Linked DNA regions of Bombyx mori. The protein of the gene in region 1 purifies or fractionates together with the protein of each later gene. This does not show direct contact. Links are inferred from orthologs where the notes say so. Each region holds a gene or a part of one and is shown on either strand. Other genes may lie near its edges.

Region 1 (3,833 bases):
TAGTTCTATATTACGACAACACGATACACTACAGATTATTAACAAATTAACGAGACACAAAACAAACGACTAACAAATATATGAAAATACAATAATGAGAGAAACGCGCGATCAGTACGAGGCTTTGTGGCGGACTGCCGGCGCAGCAGCCCGGCGTCACCTGCGATAACGCGGCCGCGCGTTGGCTCCTGATTGGCGCGCGCACGCATCACGCAATCAGGAGCCAATCAGGCGCATAACGCATTTCGTGTGACATGCTAGTACGATTTTGGTCCCCATAATTTTCATACCCCGGGCCTATATATGTAAATCGATTCTAAAGGAGTAAACTCCAAAAATCTATTTTGATGTATTTACTTATTTAGATCCTATTTTAATACCTATATAAGGATTCCAACATGCATGTGTCTATCTATCTATCTATCTATCAGCCCATGGACGTCCACTGCTGGACATAGGCCTCCCCCAAGCCTCGCCACAAAGACCGGTCCTGCGCTGCCTGCATCCAGCGGATCCCCGCGAACCTTAATAGGTCGTCGGCCCACCTTGTGGGAGGCCTACCCACGCTACGTCTCCCAGTACGCGGTCGCCACTCAAGAACCTTCTGGTTGATGTGTACGCTCATAAAATTTTCTTTCCTTTCACTGCATTCAGTACATTCCTAATAAAAATTTTTTGTAAATCCGATATAGTTATAATAAGCGGCACGTAAGTTGGCAAGGTTTTGGTGTAGTGGGGGTAATGTCGCGCATAGTGCACATTGCAACAAAAAAATGGTCACTTTTATTGCCCGCATATAATTTAATTTAATTTTTTATTTGCCATAATTTATTTTTAAGCCTGTGTGTTTAGAAGAAAGTTAAATAAAAGAGAGGAATTCGTGAAGTGTATTAGGTGTTATAAATAAAATACAATTAAAAGTTAAGAAGTTTATTAAAAAAAATATACTTAATATTAAAAATTATATCTCGCCGTCGTCACTATCATTTTCTAATAGTGCTACCCCTTGGATTAAATTTATGGTAGCACCTGAGCTGCTGGAAGGAGTTGGCTCCTCATCGTTGACATAACGAAGAGTCGCTGTCGTCACTGACGTAAATAATAAAACGCTCAGTAACTGAATCGAATATATGGTCATTGGTATTTGGTCCTGGCATTGCAAACATCTTTAAAACAATAACACTCGTAACAAAAACGAAATTTAAAACAATAATAACAACTCGTAACAAAAACTCAATATAAACAAAGGGTTCCTACAACTTTAGTAGGCGCATGTATAATCGGGAGCGAATGGAACGTGGACGCGGTGCGGGAGGGGAGGGTCGACTGACTCACCAATAGCGCGCTCGGAACGGTGCTACGTCTTTCCCCGCGTCCCGCTTGACAACCAAAGAGACCTAAAAACGACTTCTGCGCATCTAACGACTCTTGCCAAGTTACGTACCGGGAACTATATCTGTAGATTATGTTACATTTACCTTTTAAATTTCACTTCTACAATGTTAGTCATCTCAAAATCAAATCAATTAATCAATATTATTGGTTTAACAATCATGTTAGATTTATCCATTGGTTATGCCCGTTAACACAGATGAGCTTGGGGTCGTGTAGGTCGAAAACGTTAAATAAAGTATTTGTTCGGTGATATATTACCGAAGAACACCTTTGTCAGCATAATTCGCGTGACGCGTTAACTTGCGTACTCGTTGCGGATTTTATCAAGCCTGGTCAAGCCGCACATCCACCTTAGCATCTTCGTTTCAGCAATTTGAATGCTATGCACGTTCCTTTTGGTTGCCGCCCATGTTTCGCTGCCATACTGGTGTAGGACCTCTTGTGAGTCCGCGCGGGTAGGTACCACCGCCTTGCCCATTTTTGCCGTGGTGCCTTTCGGTTTGAAGGGTAGGGGCAGCCGTTGTAACTATACTTGAGACCTTAGAACTTATATCTCAAGGTGGGTGGCGCAATTACGTTGTAGATGTCTATGGGCTCCAGTAACCGCTTAACACCAGGTGGCCTGGGTGGCCTACACCCATCTTTTTTTTTTTTAAGTTTACTAAGTTGTTATCTTTTCGTTCAGGATATCGAATATGTACGCGGAGTCGTCCGAAGAATATTTAACGTTTACCCTGTGCGACGACGGCATCGAGATGGTCCACACCGACTACTCGGAGACTCTGGGCGATCTGCTGGACCTGCATCTGCACCAGCATCAGTCCATACCCTTGTTCCTCAGCGCTCTCACCATGGAGCTCTTTACGAAAACCACAATCCAACACGCGATCGAATAGATTTTTTTTATTAATATCAGTAATACCGTAGATTGGGGCGAATCGGGACCCTTTCCAAATCCAACACAAATTTTCAATGGTTTTTCTTAGCGTTATTATACATAGTTCATTACAATATATACACAAAAACTGAAAAAACTAGCTTCACCGTATAACAGTATGGGGAAAATAGAATTTTTCGATAGGGCTGGCACTATTTAGTTGTTAGGTAAGTACCTAACTTTAGGTAATTAACTTTTTAATATCTTTAATGAGTTAAACAACTTTGATGACTAAATTAAACTATTTAATATTCTTAAACACTAAATAAAAGTCATTTTCAGTTCAACAAAGTTAAATCTAAAGTTCAACAAAGCTAAATCTAACAACTCAACAAAAGTATTGTGACATCCCAGATTTGTCCCTATTCTAACTCTAGTCTCTATTCCTCCCAATCGACTGTCCGTCATTGTTTATTCTGTTTAGGAATTTCAATTTGCGCAGACTGTTAAAATGTTAATGTATGCATGATTTAGAGTTTGTTTGTCAGAGCGTCAAGAAAGGATATATTGTGACCCCAAAATTCGATTTAAATACAAAATATGTAAGAAATGAATCATGTTATTTGTCAATTGTGTTAGCATGTATACGATAAATGTGCGGGATCATACATCTTAAACAAATTGTTGAATTTTTATTATTTTTAATGAAACCCACTGTCTTGCCTGATGCGGAGGATAGCCGCCATTCAAACACCATTGTGACCTCACGACTTGTGAAGACCAATACCATGAGCTGGCTAATCCACCTGCGCCGGTAAACAAAAAAATCTTTGACATAGTAACATTATTGATGAAAATTGAGGTCTGTGTGTATGTACTTATCATTTCTATTATTATATAAACTGTTCAGACCATCTCCGAGTTCCAGTTTGTATTCTTTATTTGTTTCACTTTTTTATTTTTTTATTATTGCCTAGATGTGTGGACGACCTCACAGCCCACCTGGTGTTAAGTGGTTACTGGAACCCATAGACATCTACGACGTAAATGCGCCACACACCTTGAGATAAAAGTTCTAAGTTCTCAGTATAGTTTAACTAATTATAAACAGATAGATATACAAAAAAAACGTTTCTGTGAACAAGATTGAATTTTTAAGTTAAAGTATTTATATTGACATCCTACATGCCCTAAATTGGGGCGAGTTATATTTTTGAAATTCGTACTAGAAGTGTCTATGGAACGTAATTTTATTTTATTGGCTTGAAACAATTTAGTTAAAACCATCAGGGCCAATGTCTGATAGAGAAAAACAGTTCACTACATTCCTATTTGTGAGTTACTTTTAAAAAACTGGACTTTAAGAAGGTAAATTGTATTTTGTACTTTATGGATTGTGAATTAAATGATCAGAAATAAAGTTTTTTATTCGTAATACACCTTGCCTGCTGAGAGAGGAAAGGTCCGTTCACACAGACCGGCTCGTAGAGGTGACCAAATTTTTGTCACATGGGAAACAGAGTTCTGAGTAATTATAGTAAAGTTTATTATTGCATGTGCA
Region 2 (4,611 bases), on another chromosome or scaffold:
TGTCTTATTTTAATTTATTTAAGTTCATATTTTTATGAAAAATGATAATATGAAATGAGATGATATGGGATGAAATATAATCTCAGTAAAATGGTAAATATTTACTGAGATTTGTTCAGTGCACTGTTTGAAGGATCCCGAGAAGTTACGTACAGCGGCTTTTTTTTTAATTTTCCCACATTTGTGCACTTTCACAGATATTAAACAGTTAATAAACCACCGTTATTACCAGTGGTCGGAGTAGGTAGATTGATTTCATATACTTGGATCAAGATATTTTAATATGGACATGCCATTTTATCCATAATGATTATTTTTTTAAAATGAAAAAAATTATTTTTAATCCTCATCGGATACAATTTCTATACTTATAAAGTAACAAAAAAGCACTGTCTAAGTTTTGTCTCATACTGACAAGCGTCATTTACAATTTAACAGAAAGGGACAAAATAACTATAACTATAACTATACACATATATATAATATATAACTGTAACTATTCCAAGGCGTTTTTGTATAAAACAAAATACTGATTTCTTTTACCATTAGCTAGCACTGATAGCGTAGATTACAGGTGGCTGTGAACTCGTCTACCCATCTAAGCAATAAAGAAAAAAAAAATTATTATTACGTTTTTCACTTTAAACACAAATTCATGCTAATTTCAAAATTCCGGAACAAATATCACAATAAATATGAAGTTCCAGTATTTTGGAGGCATATATATATATATATATATCCATATTATCCTCTACGTTTGACGTCAACGACCTTAACTCAATCTACTTACCCACTCTGACCTCTAGTTATTACACATTTAAACCTGAAGAAACACTAATTAAACAAAATAAAACAAATCACACAACTTCACTCCTCGAGTTCCCGCCAAAAAGTTCTTAATAGGTACCTACATATTGTTTTTGTTTCATAATAGCATCATACATGGTGGTAAGGCCTCTTGTGAGTCCGCGAGGATAGGTATCACCACCCTGTCTATTTCTGCCGTGAAGCAGTAATATGTTTCGGTTTAAAGGGTGGGGCAGCCGTTGTAACTAAACTTGAGACCTTAGAACTCATATCTCAAGGTGGGTGGCGCATTTACGTTGTAGATATCTATGGGCTCCAGTAACCACTTAACACCAGGTGGGCTGTGAGCTTGTCCACCCATCTAAGCAATAAAAAAAAATCAAATGATTCAGGTTGCCGAAGTTAAGATTTTACCCTTTTAGTTTGGAGGATAGAGATTAGGAGCACATCATCATCTTTGTGTGTTGATGTAGCTGTATGTAGAGAGAGCTTATTTCTATTTGATCTCATGTATTTAAGTTTATTACCACTTTACTTAAAAATTAATTTATTTTCCTCAGTTCCATTTCACTTTGCGTAGTATATCAGACGGAGTTTTGTATTTTTAATATGTAAGCAAAGGGTATATGGAGGCGTTTGAGCATTGACACTTGATTTAAAGGAATTTTTGACATTGAAGTTTGAATGAAATGTTTTGAATTATTTGAAAATAACAATTATCAACGGACGCGCTGAATTCACCCAGTACCTACATAACGGCTCGTTTGTATCAAATCGTCCCTACATACTCAAGTGTGTATATAAATTCATTGATTTTGATTATTGATAGAACGATTACAGCAATATAATCGACAAACAGCTGACAACTATGTCACTACAACAAACAAAAAATTGTATTACTTTGCGCGGCTCCGCTCAAATTATATGCGAATATTTGAGTAAGTAACATTGTTTCTCTGTTGTTCTGGTATCAAAAGCTTGTTTTCCCATTTTTACCACACAGCCGTATAAGCATATATGCGCTGAAAGCTCTGATACTAATAATAACCTGAGGTTGTAACCAGTATGTTGAAGTGGCCATGATGGACATGCTTATTTATTTTTATTTATTGAATTAATATATTTTGTACACACAGCTGTTAGAAGAAACACGACCATAAAGATACAGAGTACAAGGGCTTACTAATGTGGACTACAAAACCATTATAAATTTATATGACTAAAGTCCACATTTGTTTAATCCCTGTGAGTAGTATAAACTGATTTATTTACTCATGTTTTCAGAATTTTCAATAAATTCAGTACTGTTTCAACGAGGCTTATATCCACCTGAAACCTTTAAGGCAGAAAACCAGTATGGCATCACACTGCTACTCTCAGAGGATCCTCAGATCAAGAGCTTCTTAACAAATCTTCTTACACAGAGTGAAGGTATCAGTTAGTCTACATCCAAATCTAATATGATTAATAGCAGTTCTTAGTAATAATTAGTAACTTTTTTGATGGACTTAAAATAAAGATCAACAATTTGGGGAGTTCTTTTATCATTCATTGTTTTTAGTGGCATTGTATTTATGCACGAATGAGATGAATCAACTGCTCATGTGCTGTGTTTTGAGGGCCACTACTGCTACCTACTTAGCTCCACACCTTAGTCTGGAGTTTTAGGAGTTTTGACATCCTTTAAATAAAGTTTTACCACAGCAATTTCTTTAGTTTTCACAAGTCATAGAGATAACTGAAACTAGTACAAAATTTAATGTACATCAATAACCTTAATTGTCAGTACTCACAATATCACAAAACAAAAATAATATATGTGTGATATAATCCATTAAAGTAGTTTTAATGATGTTATTTTGATGATATTACAGAATGGATTCTTGACAAGAAAGTGAAAAAACTATCTCTGATCATACTAAATGTGGCTAACAAAGAAGTTCTGGAATGTTGGGACTTTAACATTCAATACGAAGATGGAGATACTGCTTTATCTAAGGAGAAAAATGAAATGGTCGGGAGCAAAGATTTGAAGAAGATACAACAGGAAATCAGAGATGTTATGTTACAAGTAGCAGCAACAATATCGTACTTACCGCTATTAGATTGTAGATGTTCATTTGATGTTTTGGTTCATGCTAAAACAGACTGCGATATTCCAGAAAAATGGGCTGAGGCACAACCAGTAGCTATAGCCAATGCTCAGAATGTACAGCTAAAGTCATTCTCGACTAGTTTACACAAAATGGAAACAGTAGTCAGTTACAAACTCGCAGATTGATTGCAGCTTTACTTTATAAGTTTTCTATTCTTTTTAAGTATCTCAAGTAATGTAGTTTGTAATTATCTAAGGTAAGGTAACATATTGTTGAAGAGAGCATGCATCAATTGCGTGATGACCATCAGGTGACCATAAGGTGGACTATGACCGTCTACCCATTTTAAATAATAAATAACCTTTACTGCTTTCTCCCCTCTCTGCAATAATGTACTAGTGAATCTTTAATGACTCATAATTATAGTAATGGTGAATTTTAAAATGAAATTATGCCATAACAATTACTACAGTTGTCGTGATGTGTTAAGTTTTAGTTTTTTTTCTCAAATAAGAAGGAAATCGTCAATCAAATTGTTAGGCCATTATTGGTTGTAGACTGTTCTCGATCTAAATACGTATAATTTTATTTAGTGACTAAGTTACAGTAGGTATTGATTATGCTTTAAACAGTCTAAAGTTTGTTTTAATCTCACAGCTAAGTTTTGAGTGCTTGGTTTTACAAACAATGTTATCTGACTCCCATACAGGCCAATAAAGATTATTGTTAGATACTTGAGAAAAACAGTGATGTTCTCACACGAGGCTGGCATTCGCACATATTCTATGCGTTAAGACCTGAATATGGAGTTGATTTTCTAACAAACGGTTATCAATATCTTAGCCCCACAAGTAATTTTGTTGGTATCTACAAATGGAAATCATTTAGTATTTAAATGGTAATGACTACATCTCTAGTTCGCTTGTTCATGTATCTACTATAATACTGTATACTTGGGCACTTAATGGGCACCTAAAATTGAAAATAATTTTATATTATGTGTTTTTAACTAATAGCAATCAACCGAAATCTATATTGTGTTCAGTATTGTAAATATAAAATGTAAGTTTTAACTGTGAATGTAGCACCTTCGTTTCAATGTTTGGTATCATTTTGGCATGTATAAATGAATTTAAAAGTGTTTGGTTTTTGTCTTGTTTAAATGAGCGATGATACAAGGGTGATATAAATTTTCTACTATGACTACAGCATAATTTATTCTACTTTCGTTACGTTTCTGGATCGATTCGAGGCCAAGGTCGTCGTGTATGTCAACGTTCCTCACGAACCACAGCTCCGACGGCCAGCCTGCAAAAGCTGGATTGTAGGGATTGGAGGGTGTCCAAGTGTGTGCGGGCCGCGTGAGCAAACACCACACGCGTAGGTCATGACGGGCCTTATGCAGATTTATTTGGTTTTGTAAAGTGTCACCTTGTTCCGAAGGGATCCGGGGGATCCACAAGTCAGTTTTTGGGCGATGACGGCTTTGCGTTGCCCCGCCGCTTGCGTCTGATATGGTCCATCAGTGACGGACGGTAAACATTATCAGATTTCTACAATGGCAATAAAAACAGAAAGACGATCTGGTTAAACCATTTTTCAAATAGGTTGCTGGTGTATTACCATTTTGATACCACAATACCTAAGGGGTGTATACCTATAATCCAGAGGCTCCCAAAGTTTTTTGTTGCCTTAAACCGGAGATATA

Evidence for each region.
Region 2: the proteins of mitotic spindle assembly checkpoint protein MAD1 (region 1) and mitotic spindle assembly checkpoint protein MAD2A purify together in Drosophila melanogaster (affinity purification with mass spectrometry; 4 studies listed by BioGRID, with this or other methods). This does not show direct contact. The link is inferred for Bombyx mori from reciprocal best matches to the Drosophila melanogaster genes Mad1 and mad2.

The regions. Positions count from the first base shown.
Region 1 is NC_085125.1:5,658,152-5,661,984, forward strand, and holds the end of mitotic spindle assembly checkpoint protein MAD1, read left to right. Parts: intron 1-2,080; coding exon 2,081-2,291; 3' UTR 2,292-3,692; downstream 3,693-3,833.
Region 2 is NC_085128.1:1,144,700-1,149,310, forward strand, and holds mitotic spindle assembly checkpoint protein MAD2A, read left to right. Parts: upstream 1-1,493; 5' UTR 1,494-1,675; coding exon 1,676-1,745; intron 1,746-2,091; coding exon 2,092-2,238; intron 2,239-2,681; coding exon 2,682-3,088; 3' UTR 3,089-4,044; downstream 4,045-4,611.